Canis lupus familiaris: one gene and its partners. The protein of the gene in region 1 purifies or fractionates together with the protein of each later gene. This does not show direct contact. Links are inferred from orthologs where the notes say so. Each region holds a gene or a part of one and is shown on either strand. Other genes may lie near its edges. The genes, in order: SF3B1, SNRNP200 and PRPF8.

Region 1 (6,505 bases):
CACCCCCGGTGGCACAGCGGTTTAGCGCCGCCTTCAGCCCGGGGTCTGATCCTGGAGACCCGGAATCGAGTCCCGTGTCGGGCTCCCTGCATGGAGCCTGCTTCTCCCTCTGCCTGTGTCTCTGCCTCTTGGTCTCTCTCTCTCTCTCTCTCTGAATAAATAAATTAAAAAAAAAAAACTTACAAAAGTTAACTTAATACCTAGTAACCTAGAGAAATATGCATGTAATAATACAAAGTGGCCAGCAGATGCAGCTTCTATCTTAGAATGAAAAGGACATGTGACACCTTTGCACATGCTTTTCATTTTTTTTTTTTTAAATATAGTTTATTTCTAGAAATCTGTACACCCAATGTGGGGCTCAAATTTACCACTGTGAGATTAAGAGTCGCATGTTCTTTCAACTGAGCTGGCCAGGCATTCCATCTTTTAATATATTCCTTTTGTGTATTATAAAAATGTGCTTATAGCAAAGTATCTGGAAAATACTAAAAATTATTTTTAAAGTTCATAATTTCACCAGTCATAGGCATCCACTATTAACACTTTGGTGAATTTCCTTTGCATATATTTTGACAGGACAGTGATTGTCTTGTATATACAAATTTACCTTTCTTCTTTTTTCTTTTTTTTCTTCCTATTTTTAAATAAGAGCCAAGAAATGCCATGTCCTTGTGATTCTTTTTGTCAACATGGATTTTTTTAGATTGTTGATTATTGATGGATCATAACACCCTTCTGTAATTCTTTATTTCCCATTCATCCTTTTTTCATTATTTTAAAACATGCTATTTTATATATATAAAAGAATATGTGCAATCTATGTGTAGGTTATAAACTATGTAAGGAATATCTGTGGGCACTCTGCCAATTCAACAACTAGAGTTTACCAATAATTCATAAAATTACATGTTCTTGGGACGCCTGCATGGCTCAGGGGTTGAGTGTCTGCCTTCAGCTCAGGTCGTGACCCCTGTGGTCCCTGGGATCCAGTCCCATGTCAGACTCCCTGCAGGGGGCCTACTTCTCCCTCTGCCTGTGTCTATCTCTCATGAATAAAATCTTTTTTTAAAAAAACAATCTACATGTTCTCTTAACCCTTTCCTCCCTCAACTATTGTTTAACCTAAATTAAAACAATTGAAAATTGAAAATTTTCTCTCATCAAATTGATTTTTTTCATTGATACTAAGTCCCATTTTTGTTACTAAAGTTTCTACTAAATACTCATGTTGTGATCCTGTTACACAGCCAGGCAAACGTTTTTGGTGATAGCTCTAACCTTAATCCTTACCTGTTTCCTTAGGCTGCTTCCTGTACCAACTTCCCCTCAAAGTTATGTTCTTTTTTAATCCTAAAGTCCAAGGCCAGTGTGGCAGTTCAAAATTATGCTTTTGTAATTGAGGAGTAGGCAAAAAAAAAAAAAGAAAAGCCATATTTGGAGCTTTTAAAAATTCCTGATTCAAGAGTGACATTTAGGATTAAGAGAGGCATTCCAGGGATCCCTCGGTGGCGCAGCGGTTTGGCGCCTGCCTTTGGCCCAGGGCGCGATCCTGGAGACCCGGGATCGAATCCCACGTCGGGCTCCCTGCATGGAGCCTGCTTCTCCCTCTGCCTGTGTCTCTGCCTCTCTCTCTTTCTCACTGTGTGTCTATCATAAATAAATAAATAAAAATTAAAAAAAAAAGAAAGGCATTCCATCAGTGTTAATGCTGACAGCCAGTGGTTTTCTAAGAACCTATGAAATTAAAAGGCTTTAAAAAAGGACGGCACAGTTCCTCCCGGGTAATTCAGTAAGGGTGTGACCTTGCATATTTTATTTACACCCCCGCCCTAGTTTTCCTCTCCTTTCTTAAATGGGATTAGCAACAACTCGCCCACTTTCCTGGGTTGTTTGTGAGGTACAACAGTGTCTGGAAATAATAATGTTGTGCACGAAACTCCTACCCAAATGGCAAGTAATTCTTTAAGAAGAAAGAAAAATGACCTTGAATTTCAGCGCGAAGGACGTGACTGGTGTGTGTCTCCACAACTACCCACTGCAGCCGCTGAGAGACGCCACAGGAGCTCTCGCCTGGCACCGACACACCTCCGCTCGACGTGGAGGACGAGAACTGACGGCCTGAGGCTTCGGACGGGCCTGAAATCCAGCGTCTCTCGCAGTGACTATCAGCGGGTCCTCGCACAACCCACTTCCCTCCAGAGCAGTCGCCGTCGCCCCCGCCCCCGCCCCCGCGTCAGGACTCGCTTAGCCCTCCTCCTCCCGCCACCGCGAAAACCGCCTCCGCGCCGGGCCCTGGCTCCTCCCCCTCCCCCACAATGCATCGCTCTGTTCCCTCTAGGCGGCTGCTCCGTCACGTGTCGCGCGGCGGCGCGCGCCCCCGCTTGGCGCACGCGCAGAGAGCATTCCCCAGCTATTTTTCTCCGTGGCAGCGGCGGCGAGCGGAAGTGCTGGGGAGCGCCAGTTCCGTCTGTGTGTTCGAGTGGACAAAATGGCGAAGATCGCCAAGACCCACGAAGGTAAGGCGTCTTCCCGTGCTCCCGCGTCTTCTCTGCTGCCAGCCTGCCAAGACTCGATTTTACTCGGTTTTTGCCTCGGCCTGTGGTTTCGTTGGTGGGGTGCCGCGCCCGCGCGTGGGGGCCCTGGTCGGCTCCTCGGCGCTAGCGGCGCAGGCCACTGCCCCACGTAATGGCGTCCTACTCCTCCACCGCGGGCAGGCGCTTTGTTCCGCGTTTGGGTCCTGTTCCTTCAGAGTTGCTTCTCTTTTCCGAGCGGAAGGCCTCGTTCAGACGGCTCGCCGGGGGGGAGGCCAGGGCCGCGAATCGGGGAAACGGGCGTGAAAGCCGGGAGTCGCCCTCGCCTCACGGAACTGTGGCGGGCGCAGTTCGTGCCCGGGGGAGTCGGGGGAGCCCGGGAACACGGCAGCCGCTTTTCGGCAGCGCCAACTCGAGCGTAGCCTGCTTGAGGCCCGTTCCTCTTCGTCTCGGCTAATCAGGCATCTAAAATACTTTTTTTTTTTTTTTTGTATGAAGTGATTTGGACATAAAATCTGGTAGTTTTTTCTTCCCGTGATCACTTGTATATTGGTGTTTGTTCCCCACCCCCCCCCCTTGGAGACTGATGATTGGTGGAAGAGGGAAAGGCACGTTATTATTCCCAGCGGTCAAAGCTTTCGAGGTACCTGATCGTTTTGTGGAATTCGGAGAACACGGAATTTAGGAAAATGCTGAGAATAAGCCGGAGTTCTTGAGGGAGTATCCAGTTTCCAGAAATGACAGGAAATAGGGTCACTTCAGAGAAGATGAGGCATGGGCATTGGGAGGCGCGTTCCTTAGGATTTTTTTTTTTTTTTTCTGACCTGGAATCTGAAGCGTTCGTCGAACGGGAGGCTTCCAGGAGTCATTTGTATTTTCACGGGTCGTTTCCAGGTGCTGGCTCCGTGTGAGTCCGAAGTAACAAAGAGTAAGGCCGTGCAAAGTTTTACAGGCTCCTGGGGAGACAGGTGTGTGTGTGTGTATACGTTTTCATTCTTTCATGAGGCAAATTAACGCTTAAATAGAAATACAGGCCGCATGTTCTGGGATTCTGGGTAACGGAGTGATTAATTCCTGCCTAGGTAGGACTCTTCCATAGAGGAGGTGACGTGTCCCTGGCCTAAACGGATCAATCCGTTTTAAATTAGGGGAGGACATTTGAGCCTGAGAGGACATCTTGTAACGAGGCAAGGAGTCCTGAAAAGTGTGTTTGAGTAGTGGACTGTGGCGCTGCAGGGAGGGAAAGTGTAGGCGAATCTGGAAAGGTTGGTTGGGACCAGGATGTGAATGCCCTGGAATAATTGTGTTCCCCGCCAGAACTGAAGTCCAGCTCTCTGCGACATGCTAATTAATGGGCAGTGACTTTAATACTCTTCTCGTTGTGGGGGTAGGTATTTAGGATTTATTTATTTATTTTATTATTATTTTTTATATTTTTTTATTTATTCATGAGATATTTTTTATTTTATATGAGATATATATTTTATTTTATTTATTTATTCATGAGAGACACAGAGAAAGAGAGGCAGAGACACAGGCAGAGGGAGAGGCAGGCTCCCCCACAGGGAGCCTGATGCGGGACTCGATCCCGGAACCCCAGGATCACGCCCAGGGCCAAAGGCAGGCACCAAGCCGCCGAGCCACCCGGGCTGCCCGGTATTTAGGATTTAAACACTGTTTTAGCCCTGAAGGTTGTTTAGGCACTTACTCTTCTGTCTTTAGACTAATCCGGATGTAACCTTTTGCAAAATAATTAGAAACTGAAGATGTTGCTCTTGTTTATTCAGGAGTAGGCTGTTCATTGGGGGCAGTTTGTGGCTTTGATCACTTGTTTGTTGATATTTTTAATCATAAAGATACTTTTGGACAGGGAAATCAAGGTTTGGATCAGGTTTCCTGCTTTTTTGAGACTCAATTAAAAGCTTTGGTCTATAGAAGATTGAAGTTGATTGGCCAAGTTTGCTTTTTTATTTGGAATCTTGCTACAGTATGAATTAACTGATGCTATAAAGAAAGTATAGCAGTATTCAGTTAACAACAGCACTGTGTATAAGACAGTCTGTCACTGTGAGTTTTTGGTAAAGGATGATCAATGTTTAGTGGAAATATGCATAATATTTACATAGAGATACTTTCCTAAAGATCTGGAATGGTTCATGGTGCATCTCTTCTCTTTTCCCTTAATAAGTCATCTCTGATAGCCTGGAGCAGATTTCTTGGTGGGTTTATTTATTTATTTATTTATTTATTTACTTACCTAGGTGCTACTGTAGCTCTTTATTATACTAGAATATTCTATTGTGTTAAGGTTTTTTAAAAAATATTTATTCATGAGAGAGAGAGAGAGAGGCAGAGACACAGGCAGAGGGAGAAGCAGGCTCCATGCAGGGAGCCTGACGTGGGACTCCATCCCGGGTCTCCAGGATCACGCACTGGGTGGAAGGCGGCGCCAAACTGCTGAGCCACCCGGGCTGCCCAAGGTTTTCTTATCCACGTTGAGACTGATGTGTACAGGAACTATTTCTTGGTATCCCCAGTACCTAATGCCTAATGAGTACTGAGTATTAACATTTATTGAGAGATTATATTGGAAATATTAAAAGTTTCACAGAAAGGGGCCGCTTAAACTCACTTTTGAATGATTGGGTAGGTTTGGATACATTGTTTGGCTGAGGTAGGTGGGAAGTAGGACTTGTTAATGTATTGGGAACCTTCTGCGCTGAGAGGAAGAAAGGTTTGCATCAAATTAAAGAAAGCTTTGAACTCTAAGTTAGGCTTGACTTGGCTTTCCAGTGACTACAGAATAAAGTACCTACTTCTCCCAGGTGACAAGTTATTTCTGCATTTTGGGAAAGTCTTTAGTTGCAGTGTTGAAGAGTGGCAGTAAGAGCAGCAATTCTTAAGCTAGGCTTGAGTTTGAACCTCACTGTAGTAACTTTAAAAATGTATATTCTTTGATTTTTGTTTTAGAGTTGTCCATCATCATGTGGTGTGTGTGTGGTTTTTTTAAGCTATGGTCTTTTTTTTTTTTTTTAAGATTTTATTTGAGAAAGGGAATAAGAGACAGAGGGAGCACAAACTGCACAAACGGGGAGAAGCAGAGGATAAGGGAGAAGCAGACTCCCCACTGAACAGGAAGCTGTAATGTGGGCTCAACCCCAAAATTATGACCTGAGCTGAAGGCTGACGCTCAACTGACTGAGCCACCCAGGCACCCCATCTTGTTGCTTTTTTAAGAAGATTATATAATCTTTTTATCCTAAGTAATATTGCTAGTAAGGAGTTTTCTTTGTTGTATTTTTTTCTTTGTTGTATTTTTAAAAAAGATTTTATTTGTTTATTCGTGAGAGACAGAGAAGGCAGAGACGCAGGCAGAGAGAGAAGCAGGCTCCCTGAAGGGAGCCTGATGTGGGACTTGATCCCGTAACTCCAGGATCATGCCCTGAGCCAAAGGCAGATGCTCTACCGCTGAGCCCCCCAGGGATCCCTGTAATTTAGTTTTAGAGTAATTGCTGCATCAGTAATTTTTACTTGAATTTTGTAAATTAATATTGTATTCAAAGTGATCTAGGTAATTGTACCTTCCTATATGTTGTTTTCACAGGTTATTAGTTAAGTATCATTGAGCCAAACTGATAACTTGTTTTTGTTTTTATGCTGTCATAGTCCTTTTTCATATTTCTGTTACGATCAGCCCTTAATATCCTTTTTTAAGCAACCTGATTGTTTTTTACCCTGGTGGGTCACATTTTCCAGTATTGAAAGATAAAAAGGGGATCCCTGGGTGGCGCAGCGGTTTGGCACCTGCCTTTGGTCCAGGGCGTGATCCTGGAGACCCGGGATCGAATCCCACGTCGGGCTCCCGGTGCTTGGAGCCTGCTTCTCCCTCTTCCTATGTCTCTGCCTCTCTCTCTCTCTCTCTCTCTCTCTCTGTGACTATCATAAATAAAAAATAAAAAATAAAATAAAAT
Region 2 (6,405 bases), on another chromosome or scaffold:
CTCCCACTCATGTGCACTCTTGCCCTTTCTTAAGAAAATTGTAGCATAAAGCTGAATTCATAGTAGAAGTGAAGGTTTGAAGAAGTAAAGTATTTCTCTGAATTCTTTGAGGTTTGTCCCTAGTACAGATTAGAGTTAACACACTCAGAGTGCTGTGGTCAAGAGACTGCTAGCCTGTTGCTGTCTTCAACAGCACCATGGGCCCATCACATGGGCCCTTGACACAATAAGTAATGGTATGTACTGAAAATGCAGGGATAGAACACATATGTTGGCTGAACATAGAACCTACACTTCTATCTTTAGGGTTAGCCCTTGGTGCTGAATTGTTGAACATCTACTTTTGAAATCCCTGTGCTATGCATTGTCCTCTTTTTTAAGAGGAAAGTTTTTTTTTTTTTTTTTTTTTTTAAGATTTTATTCATTTGAAAGAATATGTATACATGTGGGGAGAGGGGCAGAGGGAGAAGGACAAGAGACTCCCTGCTGAGCGGGGAGCTTGATGCGGGCCCCTGTCTCAGGAACCTGAGACCACGACTTGACCCGAAGTCAGATGCCTGACTGAGCCACCCAGGTGCCCCTGCATTGCCCCTTTACTTTTTTTATTTTAATTAAAAAAATATTTATTTATTAATGAGAGACACAGAGAGAGAGGCAGAGACACAGGCAGAGGGAGAAGCAGGCTCCATGCAAGGAGCCCATTGTGGGGCTCGAACCTGGGAATCCGGGATCACGCCCTGATCCAAAGGCAAGCACTTAACTGCTGAGCCACTCAGGTGTCCCCGTTGTCCCTTTAAAACTGCTTGCTTCCATCATTCTGGTGGTCCCGATGGCAGATGTCTGAACATAAAGGACGGTCTTTCTAGTTTGGGACTTACTGGTCAGCACCCATGAGTCAAGCTTAGTTAAGCAGAGACCAAAAGGGACCAGAACCTTCAATGGTGATGGATTGTTATTCTTTGGGCCTTTCTCTGTTACAGGAGGAAAGGTCCCGGAGAGAGCGAGTGCGTCAGTCCCGGATGGACACAGACTTGGAAACCATGGATCTGGACCAGGGTGGAGAGGTAGGTCTTGGGTTCATTTCCAAGGTGGTGCTAGATGGAAAAAGCTCATTTGTTCACCTTGCTCACTTTGGGTTTTTGTTTTTCATACTCCTAGGCACTGGCTCCACGGCAGGTTCTGGACTTGGAGGACCTGGTTTTTACCCAGGGGAGCCACTTCATGGCCAATAAACGTTGTCAGCTTCCTGATGGGTCCTTCCGGCGCCAGCGCAAGGGCTATGAAGAGGTGCATGTGCCTGCTCTGAAGCCCAAGCCCTTTGGTTCCGAAGAAGTGAGTGAATTGCTTTTCTCCATTTTCTTTGTTTTCACTTCTCTTCCAGTTTGGATTTCAACCCATTGGCCAAAATGTGATCTTGCTTCATAGTTTTTCCCTGATGTGGAAGCTGTTTCAGAGTTTTCCCACTTTGTGAGCCTAGGGGACAGTGGAGAGTGACACAGGGAGGGTGCCAGGAAGTGCAGTCCTGGCTGTCCCACAAAAACAGCTTGCTCAAGGATGCTGCCAGCAGAATGTGAATGGCATTTTTCTCTCTCTCTCATTCATTCATTCATTCATTTTTAAAGATTTTATTTATTTATTCATGAGAGATACAGAAGGAGAGAGGCAGAGAGAGAAGCAGGCTCCATGCAGGTTGCCCAGTGCGGGACTCGATCCTGGAACTCCAGGATCATGCTCCGAGCTGAAGGCAGTCGCTCAACCGCTGAGCCACCCAGGCATCCTTGTTTCTCTCTTTTAGCAACTGCTTCCAGTGGAGAAGCTCCCGAAGTATGCCCAGGCTGGATTTGAGGGCTTCAAAACATTAAATCGGATCCAGAGTAAACTCTACCGTGCTGCTCTGGAGACAGATGAGAATCTGCTGCTGTGCGCCCCTACTGTAAGCACTGCCCTGGCTGCTTTGTTCTTGTGGAAAGTGGTGTATGTTTTTGATGGCAAGATTGTTCATCTTCACCCATATGCTACCCCCTGCCCCCCCACCGGAGTTCTTTCTTTGATGGAAGAGATGTTAAATGGTAGGATATCCTACCATCCCAGGACATGCTCTAGTGTCTGTTTTGGTGATAAGCCTGTGGTAGTGAGGGCGGGTAAGCAGACCTTCTCATCCTCAACTTCTGTCTTAGGGTGCAGGTAAGACCAACGTGGCCCTGATGTGCATGCTCCGAGAGATAGGGAAGCACATTAACATGGATGGCACCATCAACGTGGATGACTTCAAGATTATCTACATTGCTCCCATGCGGTCTCTAGTGCAGGAGATGGTGGGCAGTTTTGGAAAGGTAAGGGGTAGAGAGATACTGGGAGTGGGGGTTAGATCATTCCTGGGATGCCTCATCCAGTGGTTTTCTTCCACTTCAAGGTGGAACTTGACCCGAGTTCAGAGTGTTACTGGAGCAAGAATGTCTTGCACCTGTCTTGGACTTTTACAAGGATTTAGCATCTTTTTTTAATTCTTTCCATAGCAGTATTCTGTAGTTGTAATAATTGATGTTATTGAAGAATTTATGAAACACTCACAAGATGTGGTTGATAATAGATCTGGTGGTATTATTCCAGGTCCTGTTATCTACAGGTTTCCATTCCCCCTTGTGTGCAGAAGTCCCAGACATCCTCTGTCTGCTTCATTTGCCTTAGTGTGAACTTGATTTGTTTTAGATATATGCGCTTGTATGATCAATCTAATTCGTTTGATATTTCTCTGTTGGGTTGATACCTCCTTCCAGTATCCTACTCTGAGACTTCCCAAAGTGCGATAGCAAGGCCCCTTTGCAGTGTTTTTGATTGACCTGCCTCTCCTTCACCTAGCGCCTGGCCACCTATGGCATCACTGTTGCAGAATTGACTGGTGACCACCAGCTGTGCAAGGAGGAGATCAGCGCCACTCAGATCATCGTTTGCACCCCCGAGAAGTGGGACATCATTACCCGCAAGGGTGGGGAGCGCACATACACCCAGCTTGTACGGCTTATCATTCTGGTGAGCAGGGAGTACTTGGGGACATAGAGGCCAGGCCTGGTTGAGAAGGGTTTGCTGGAATTTTTGTTTGTTTTTTTTAAAGATTTATTTATTAGAGAGCAAGTGATGGGAGGAGGGGGGTGTTGGGGGTGAGTTGGGGGGAGGCAGGGGGCAGATGGAGAGAATCCATACTCTCTTCACTGAGTGTGGAGCCTGCCATGGGGCCTGATCTCACCACATTCCCTGAGATCATGACCTGAGCCATCCACATGCCCCTGGTTTGCTGGCTTTTATTGGTGACCATTTTTTCAGTGCTTTCCTCCAGTCACTAGCCTGTATAATGACAGCCGTTATCAGCATTGCTGTAATCATTAAATGAGAAAATGCATCTAATTGAAATAGTTCTGAGGAGGTGCATGGTGTTTGCCACGTTCCTTGCTCTTCATAGCTTTTTTTTTTTTTTTATCTGAAATATTTTAAAACAAATGTAAACAGACATAACTAATTGTGTCTTCCCAGGACATTAAAGGGCTTCATAAATAAATAATCCATTCTCAGACAGAGTGAGTTAAGGAATCAGGATATTGTGTTCCATACATGCAGAAGCACCCAGGCAAAAATGACTTTGAGTCTGAGTGTAGTTTCTTTAAGTTGTCTAGAGAACAGGACGGAGGTCTTGTACGTAGATTTTCAATATCCTAGAGCAGGAGTTGGCAATCTGCAGCTACTGGTTTTGGACTATAGCCATACCCATTTATTTATGTATGGTTTACAGTTGCTTTTGTGCTGCAGTTACAGAAGTAAGTACAGTGGACTCTTGAACAACACAGGCTTGAACTCCATGGGTCCACTTATATATGGATTTAAAAAAAAATAAATATAGTGCCATACTGTAAACGTGTTATTCATACTTTTTTTTTTTTTTTTTAAGATTTTATTTATTCATTCATGAGAGACACAGAGAGAGAGGCAGAGACACAGGCAGAGGGAGAAGCAGGCTCCATGCAGGGAGCCTGACATGGGACTCGATCCCAGGTCTCCAGGATTTGCCCTAGGCTGAAGGCGGCATTAAACCTCTGAGCCACCTGGAGCTGCCCATATTTATACTTTTATACTTCTAATAACATTATTTTAGTTTATTGTAAGAATACAAGTATATAAAATGTATATGGAATGTGTGTTCGCCAACTGTTTATGTTATTGTAAGACTTCTGGTAAAGAGTAGGCTATTTGTAGTTAAGTTTTGGGAGAATTGAAGTTATAAGCAGATTCTCGACTATGTAGGACACCCCTAACTCCTGCATTGTACAGGGGTCAGTTTTATTTGTAGCAGAGACTGTATGGCTTACAATCCTAAAATACTGATTGTCTGCCCCCCCCCCCTTTTTTTTAAGGTTTATTTACTCAAGAGAGACACAGAGGGGGCAGAGACATAGGAAGAGGGAGAAGCAGGCTCCCTGCAGGGAGTCTGATGCAGGACTTGATCCTAGGACCTTGGGATCACAACCTGAGCCAAAGGCTGAACCACTGAGCTACCCAGGTGTCCCTGATTGGCCCTTTATGAAGTTTGTCAACCCCCGCTTTGGAGCCTCACTATTCAAAGTCTTTAATAAGTGCAGAGTCCCTGGCCCCATCCCACACCTACTGAAATATAATCTTTTTATTGATTTATTTTAAGATATTAATTAATTGATTTATTGAGAAAGAGTGTGAGCCAGGGGAGGGGCAGAGGGAGAGAGAGAGAATCTCAGACTCCACGCTGAGTGCAGAGCCCCACGTTGGGCTTGATCTCTGGACCCTGAGCTCATGACCTGAGCTGGAATCAAGAATTTGGTGCTTAACTAAACTACTCAGGTACCCCACAATCTGCTTTTTAGTAAGATCCCATGCTGCATACTGAAATTTAAGAAGCATTACCTTAGGATATGCGAGCTCATCATTTGATTCATGATATCTTTTGCAAGTACAAAGTAGTAAGGATAACTGCCCAGAGGTGAAACCTTCTTTGATATAAATATGATCTGCTTAGAAGCTTCATTTTTAGTAAAGAAATGTCTTTTTTTTTTTTTTTTAAGATTTTATTTATTCATGAGAGACATAGAGGCAAAGACACAGGTAGAGCGAGGCTCCCTGTGGGGAGCCTGATAAGGGACTTGATCCCAGGACCCTGGAATCATGACCCAAGCCAAAGGCAGATGCTCAGCCACTGAGCTACCCAAGAAATTTGTCTTTGAGTGAAGTGATGAACTCATTTACCTGAAGTATTAGATTTTCTTGCCATTAAGCATATGTTTCACTAAATTAGCAATGCAGCTCTCAGTGGTTACAGGAGAATATTTTCCAGGGTATTTCACAGTGAATGTTGTCCCACCCTTTGGGTTTCTCTTGCCTGCTCTTTTCTTCTTTATTTGGCATATGAGGTATATACCACAAAATGGGACTATTTTCAGGAAAGAGGACCACATTTTTCTAGTCCTGGAGATAATTTGTAGCCCCTTCATTACTTAGGATGAGATCCATCTCCTCCACGATGACAGAGGTCCTGTCTTAGAAGCTTTGGTGGCCAGGGCCATCCGAAACATTGAGATGACTCAGGAGGATGTCCGACTCATTGGTCTAAGTGCTACCCTCCCCAACTATGAAGACGTGGCTACCTTCCTGCGTGTGGATCCTGCCAAGGGCCTCTTTTACTTCGACAATAGGTATGAGAGAAGATGGGAGAAATTTAACCAGGGTGACCTTCCTGCTGCCCTATCCCCCTTTCAGGGAGCTTTGTTGGATTGGGTATTAGAAGGGTCTTTGGGTTTGGTTTCTTTCTTTCTTTCTTTCTTTTTTTATTTTTTCAAGTCCCATATTGGGCTCCCTGCGAGGAGCCTGCTTCTCCCTCTGCTTATGTCTCTGCCTCTCTCAGCCTATGTCTTTCATGAATAAATAAGATTTATTAAAGATTTCTTAAAAAAAAAAAGATTTTATTTACTCATGAGAGAGACAGAGAGAGAGAGAGGCAGAGACACAGGCAGAGGGAAAAGCAGGCTCCATGCAGGGAGCCCGATGTGGGACTTGATCCTGGGACTCCAGGATCATGCCTTGGGCCGAAGGCAGGTGCTAAACCACTGAGCCACACAGGTGTCCCGGTCTTTGAGTTTTGATGTGGTGTGAATCTAGAAAGGAATGTCGTTCCTGGGCAGCAAATATGACTGTTTATTTCCTCAGTATTCTGTGCTAGAAGCCTAATATGTTTAACTATTGAACTTCTAGCTTCCGCCCAGTGCCCCTGGAACAGACTTATGTGGGTATCACAGAGAAAAAAGCTATCAAGCGTTTCCAGATCATGAATGAAATAGTCTATGAGAAGATTATGGAACATGCTGGAAAAAATCAGGTCTGTCTGTGGTT
Region 3 (6,505 bases), on another chromosome or scaffold:
AAAAAGAAAAAAGAACTAAGGTCTTACCTTGACAGAGTGCCTGTGAGAAATTGGGTTGATCAAAGGATCAAAGTAGAAAGCTGGGAGATCAGGATCCTCAGTTTTGATGAACACAACATTAGGAGTGTGGTACCTAAAATAAAGGAAGAGTAATAAACTCAGGTTCTCCTGCCCTGGCCCAATATCCTCTCCCCCCTCTCCCCCTTTGCTCTAGCTCTCACCAGGTAAGGTGGACATGGTGTGGAAGGTTGTTGTACAGATAGGGAAAAGCAATCTTGTATTCAGTGCGGATAGGCTGCCGGATGATGATCTTGTTAATATCGTTGAATTCATTCCAGTCTTCATCCCTAGGGTACATTATCAAGGATGAGCAGACTAGTTGGGGAGTTTGGAAACTACAATGGCATCTCAAGGATCAAGATTAGATTTTACTCAATCCGAGGTGCCTATAATCCCTAGTATCTCCAACTTACTGGAGGTTGATGTCTCGAACAAGAGGTTCAAATTTGGGGCCTCCAGGAATGGCCATATTGAGTGCCTTGGACGTGAAGAAGGCTTTCAGATCAAAGAGATAGAAGTAGTTATCATCTACCAAGTCTGTCAGGAGCTGATTGGCCAAGCGGTATAGAGTGGACATCATGGGCAGTGTGAACTGCCAGCGCTGGTAAGTGGAACCATTCACGTACCTAGGGAAAAAAGACAGGCCTATGTCAGGTAGCCAAGCCATTCTGTCTATTGCTCACCCAGGACTCCTGGCCTTCCAAAACTTTCACAGGAGTGATAACTCCAACCATCACTCACTTCCGACTATCCCTCAATGGCTGGTGGTCATAAAACCAGTCCAACACAGGAGCATCCTCTTCAGGGTCCAGCTCTAGCTGAATGGCCTCCAGTGGTTCAACATCCAAGATATTGTCAGCATAGTCCAAAGGTGGCTCCTCATCATCAAAAGGGGGGAAACGCATCCTCTTGAAATGCCTTCTGTCTCTTTTTTCTCGACGCATCATAATCCACATTGACCTAAAAGCCAGCAATTTCACACTATGGTTTCTACCCGCTGCCCCCAACCAGCACCCCCACCATCAACAACAACCATATTCTAGCCCTTCTCACCCCCACTGGGAGATGTAGACAGGCTCAATGACCCAGGGAATCTCATTGACAAAAGAAATGGCTCCAGTGATGTGGTACAGCACAGGTACATCCCGAATCTGCTCCCAAGGCATAGGCATGTTCTCCAGCAGTTTGAGGACTGCATGGGGCATGTATTTCAGGGCACTGCAACATTAGGGAGAGAGAAGATTATAAATGACAAAGCTGTTGTTACCTGTGCCATGCAGAGAAGCCACATGGTGTCATAGTACCACATTCCACAGAAAAGTCTGCCTTACAGTCCAAACTTAGCATACAGGAATCCTGTCTCTCCCTCTGCAATTGTGCCAGTCTTCCTCTTAAACTGCACAGTTCCAATATTGGGTTTCTGTCCCTCTGTATCAACAACTGTCCCTCTAAAGACAGCTTTTGAGCTATTACACATTCTATACTATCTTCCTATAAGTAATAATGAAATATTCATCATAAAATACTCATCATTATACCCATCTTTCCCACATCTGTCAGGCCACTAGACTGTAAGATCCAGAAAGGCCATTACTGCCTATTCATTGCTATATCCCTAGCACCTACCACAGCTTTCAAAATAATATTTTTTATAAACAAACATCTATGGCTCCTTTTTTAAAGATTTATTTGAGATAGAACATGAGAGACAGCACAAGCAGGCCCCCCGCTGAGCCGGAAGCCCAATGTGGGGTTCCATCCCAGGACCCCGGAATCATGACCTGAGCCGAAGGCAGACGCCCAACTGAGCCACTCAGGTGTCCCTTTGTTTTTCTTCTTAACGACAATATTACAACAGTTTATTAAGTGGCTAACGTTTTCCTGTCCAAATGGAAAAGAGATTTACTAAGGCACTTATACATGTATTCACTCAGCTTGGGGCCACAGAAAAGAGCATAGAAGCCTCACGAATTAAATATCCTGAACCTCAGGACTAGTCACTGCTAAGTTAAAGGCAACAAGAATGTAGTGTCCTATTATGGGTTTCAACCCATTCAAAGACGGGCATCTTATAGCTCCAACAGGACAAATTAATGTCAGGTCAAGAAAAAAACTCAGGGCAATCAAGAGAATAACTAAAGATCTGAAAGTTATCACAGAATCCTAGTTTTTTTTCCTCTCTCTCTCTTTTTTTATAACCACCGAGATGGGGTGTCATAGAGGATTCCTGTCCCAAAATGACAGAGCAGCTATCCAGGACTGCAACCTATGGGACAAGGATAAGGAAGAGGGACCAAAGTTGGGAATGAAAGAATTCCAAGAGGTTCCTTACCCCAAGTAAACCCTTTTGTCATGGCGAAACTTCCTGTTGGTCATGTCTCCATGGTCTCGAATGATCTTCCTAACGTGTTCTGGGGGCATGTCTTCTTTCTGAGCATCCACAAATCCAAACTTTCGCTTTTCTGCATAGCGCTTGGCCTGTAATTGCTGCCATTTTCGGGCTACAAAGACACCTCAGTTTATTTATTTATTTTTTATTTATTTATTTTTATTTTTTATTTATGATGGTCACAGAGAGAGAGAGAGAAAGAGGCAGAGACATAAGCAGAGGGACAAGCAGCCTCCATGCACCGGGAGGCAGACGTGGGATTCGATCCCGGGTCTCCAGGATCGTGCCCTGGGCCAAAGGCAGGCGCCAAACCGCTGCGCCACCCAGGGATCCCGACACCTCAGTTTAAATAACTGCACACTCTTAGTTGAATCAGTCCCATGTCTTGCCACAGGGTAAGCCCCTGTCAGGATATAGGAGTTAGGGGTGGGCGTAGAACAGGAGCACTCTTTGCCAAGTCTCTTATCTCACTGTGCTTTATTTTCCTTTATCACATTTATGATTGTCTGACTTTTTTTTTTTTTACAGATTCTTAAGTTTTGTTTTGGTTTTTTTTTTCACTGCCTGCAAATAACAGACACCTCTGCACACTTAATTAGATGACAAAAGGAGCCAAAGGTGAGTTGACACCTAATGCTCTGACACTTGCCAAAACGAGTTAAGGAGGCAAACCCGCTGCGCGCACGCGCACAGCCGCCCTAAGCCGCCGGGCCCACAGGCGCCCTCCCGCACGCGTTCTTCACCTTTCTCTTGCAGCTTCTCCTCCGACATGTAGTCCGGCAATGGGGCTAGAGGGCCGGGCACCGGGTTACCCGGCCCTCGGTAAGGAAATACTCCAGCCATTCCCGGAGAGTCTGGGGGACAGAGAAAGAAAAAATGTAACGAGAAGCGGCGCTCGAGCCCAGCAGGAACGCGCCGACACCGCGGTCTGCAGTCCCGCTGTGCTCAGAGTACGTCCAGTCCGGCCCATCCCGACGTCCCGGCCGTCCAGCCCGACCCCACACGCCTCCCGCGGCCCAGCCCTTGAAGCCCACCACGCACCCCCACAGGCCCTCACACAGACGGCCGCTTTCTTCGCAGCGCAATGGCGGCACTCCTACGTCTGTCGCGCGTTCCCAACGCCGGGAAGTACGCAACTCTTGTTCAGCAGTTGACCCAATAGGCGCCCGTGTGCTCAGACGGATTAGAGAGCTCACCAATTAGAATACGTGTACAAGCGCCGACGGGGCCAGAGGGGGCGGGTCCATAGGCGGAAAGCTTAGAACGCAAGAGGGTGGAGTCCGGTAGGCGCTAGCCCCGCCTCCCGCTTTTTTCAGGCTGCCTTAGAGACCTGGAGTAAAGGGACCTCGCCTTCCAGTCAGCAACTGATGTCCTATCAGGCAAAGACCCTATTTTTTTTTTTTTTTTCAAAATTTTTTTTAATTTATTTATTTATGATAGTCACAGAGAGAGAGAGAGAGGCAGAGACACAGGCAGAGGGAGAAGCAGGCTCCATGCACCGGGAGCCCGACATGGGATTCGATCCCGGGTCTCCAGGATCGCGCCCTGGGCCAAAGGCAGGCGCTAAACCACTGCGCCACCCAGGGATCCCGAAGACCCTATTTTTGAAAAACAAATTTGTTAAAATCTGCACATTACACTGTGTCTACGTTCACAAATGTAGACTTGAGGTCTGCGAGCTCCGAGTCCATCAGTCCTTTTCTTCGTTCATACATTCATTCATCAAGCCATCATTTACTGAGTGTTCAGTATGCATTAGGGATTGGAATTGCAGCAGGGGAGAAAGCCAAGCTCCTGGAGCTCATAGAGAGGCGGGGAGGTCAAGTAACCCAAAATCTAGGCAGCCCGGGTGGCTCAGCTGTTTAGCGCTGCCTTTCAGCCCAGGGCGTGATCCTGGAGACCCGGGTTCGTGTCCCTCGTCAGACTCCCTGCATGGAGCCTGCTTCTCCCTCTGCCTGTGTCTCTGCCTCTCTCTGTCTCTGTCTTTCATGATTAAATAAATAAAATCTTAAAAAAAAAAAAAGTAACCCAAAATCTTACAATGCAATGTGATGAGAATTTGGGGTAGGGCATTTAACCCTGGCTGTGAAGTCAAAGGGTTAGAATATGAACTTAGGGCAACTCGGATGGCTCAGCGGTTTAGCGCCGCCTTTGGCCCAGGGTGTGATCCTGGAGACCCGGAATCGAGTCCCACATCAGGATCCCTGAATGGAGCCTGATTTCTCTCTCTGCCTCTGTGTGTGTGTGTCTCATGAATAAATAAATAAAATCTTTTTTAAAAAATAGAAAATGAACTTAGAAAAATAAAGAAGCCGTAGGGAACAGAATTGCTCGGTGTCCTTACCTCTCCCTCTCCATTCCTCTTCTCTCTGGCAGTGATTACATTATGGAGTATATAGTGGACACCTTATAAATGCTTCTCGTTTCTTTGAGGCTCTGCCTATGTCTTGCTGCCTGAATTGCGCTGATATCCTGCCATCCTTGTTCCACTTTCTATGTCTTATTCCATCCCAACAACTTTAAATCTTAGTCAACAGGTAAGTTTGTTTGAATTCACACAGTTTATTGTGGAGGATGCAGAGGAATTATAACCCACACACCCTCTCAATCTAGTTGAGAATTTAGGACTCAAAAGTGAAATAATTAGAGAAAAATGCAAAGGGGAGTTCAGGCAAGGGCTGGCTGGTGTGGAGGTTCACACAGGTCACAGAAAGGAGAGGAGCATTAGTAAAGATTTGATGGAAATGGGTGGATGTGGAGGATTTATCCCATCAGGGATAAAGAAAGTGGAAGGAAAAAGGAACCCCAGGTGGTGGGAACTGCTAGAGTTGGGAGTTTAGAAAGAAGAACCAATATGGCATGCTCTGAAAACAGCCAATCAGCCTGGCAGCAGTAGAAATTCCACCATCATCATTATTATGTTCGTCATTGTCATGAAGTTCTTCAATTTGTATAAGGTTCACTTCTGTGAACTTGTGCTAGGTATTGTTCTAAACCCTGGTAATAGGGGATCCCTGGGTGGTGCAGTGGTTTGGCGCCTGCCTTTGGCCCAGGACGCGATCCTGGAGACCTGGGATCGAATCCCACGTCGGGCTCCTGGTGCATGGAACCTGCTTCTCCCTCTGCCTGTGTCTCTGCCTCTCTCTCTCTCTCTCTGTGTGTGACTATCATAAATTAAAAAAATATTTAAATAAAAATATAAATATTCTGTAAAAAAAATAAAAAATAAACCCTGGTAATATCCTAGCATAGTCTATAGTTTTGTTAAAAGCACCAATATCAGGATGCCTGGGTGGCTCAGTGGTTGAGTGTCTGCCTTTGGCTCAGGGTGCAATCCCAGAGTCCTGGGATTGAGTCCCATATTGGGCTTCCTGCATGGAGCCTGCTTCTCCCTCTGCCTGTGTCTCTGCCTCTCTCTGTGTGTGTATCTCATGAATAAATGTTTAAGTAATCTCTACAGTCAGTGTGGAGCTCAAATTCACAACCCCAAAATCAAGAGTCCTGCTCTCCACTGACTGAGTCAGCCAAGTGCGCCTGTACTTTTTCTAGACAGCATTATTGAGATATAATTTGCATTTTATAAAGTTCACCAGTTTAAGCTATACAATCCAATGATTTTTATCATATTTATAGAGTCATGCAATTATCATTACTATTTAGTTCCAGAACATTCTCATCATCACAAAAAGAAACCTTGTACCCATTAGTATTCACTGCCCATTTCCTCCTATTCCTCAGCCCTAGGCAACCACTAATCTACTTTCTGACTCTATAGTTTTGCCTGATCTAGATATTTCTTATAATTAGTATCATAGAATAGTGATATTTTGTGACTGGCTTCTTTTACTTAGTGTGCTTTTAAGGTTCATCCTCAAAATACACACACATACACATCCATATGCATATATGTATATACACATATATACATATATATATATAATGTTCTTTGGAGAGATGTCTATTCAGACCTTTGCCTATATTAAAATTGGATTATCTTTTTATTATTGAGTTCTGGAAGTTCTATATCCTAGATACAAGTCCCTGTCATTTACCTGA

Evidence for each region.
Region 2: the proteins of SF3B1 (region 1) and SNRNP200 purify together in Homo sapiens (co-immunoprecipitation; 4 studies listed by BioGRID and IntAct, with this or other methods). This does not show direct contact. The link is inferred for Canis lupus familiaris from reciprocal best matches to the Homo sapiens genes SF3B1 and SNRNP200.
Region 3: the proteins of SF3B1 (region 1) and PRPF8 purify together in Homo sapiens (affinity purification with mass spectrometry; 5 studies listed by BioGRID and IntAct, with this or other methods). This does not show direct contact. The link is inferred for Canis lupus familiaris from reciprocal best matches to the Homo sapiens genes SF3B1 and PRPF8.

What each region holds. Positions count from the first base shown.
Region 1 is NC_049258.1:6,837,798-6,844,302, reverse strand, and holds the start of SF3B1 (splicing factor 3B subunit 1), read left to right. Parts: upstream 1-2,360; 5' UTR 2,361-2,491; coding exon 2,492-2,519; intron 2,520-6,505. UniProt on the Homo sapiens protein: Component of the 17S U2 SnRNP complex of the spliceosome, a large ribonucleoprotein complex that removes introns from transcribed pre-mRNAs.
Region 2 is NC_049238.1:34,656,621-34,663,025, forward strand, and holds part of SNRNP200 (U5 small nuclear ribonucleoprotein 200 kDa helicase), read left to right. Parts: intron 1-980; coding exon 981-1,064; intron 1,065-1,158; coding exon 1,159-1,332; intron 1,333-1,795; coding exon 1,796-1,933; intron 1,934-2,177; coding exon 2,178-2,333; intron 2,334-2,859; coding exon 2,860-3,030; intron 3,031-5,517; coding exon 5,518-5,711; intron 5,712-6,267; coding exon 6,268-6,391; intron 6,392-6,405. UniProt on the Homo sapiens protein: Catalyzes the ATP-dependent unwinding of U4/U6 RNA duplices, an essential step in the assembly of a catalytically active spliceosome. Plays a role in pre-mRNA splicing as a core component of precatalytic, catalytic and postcatalytic spliceosomal complexes.
Region 3 is NC_049230.1:45,769,782-45,776,286, forward strand, and holds the start of PRPF8 (pre-mRNA-processing-splicing factor 8), read right to left. Parts: upstream 3,641-6,505; 5' UTR 3,491-3,640; exon of another isoform or gene 3,304-3,490; 5' UTR 3,293-3,303; coding exon 3,193-3,292; exon of another isoform or gene 3,148-3,192; intron 2,562-3,147; coding exon 2,393-2,561; intron 1,279-2,392; coding exon 1,114-1,278; intron 1,021-1,113; coding exon 802-1,020; intron 687-801; coding exon 474-686; intron 348-473; coding exon 222-347; intron 134-221; coding exon 28-133; intron 1-27. UniProt on the Homo sapiens protein: Plays a role in pre-mRNA splicing as core component of precatalytic, catalytic and postcatalytic spliceosomal complexes, both of the predominant U2-type spliceosome and the minor U12-type spliceosome.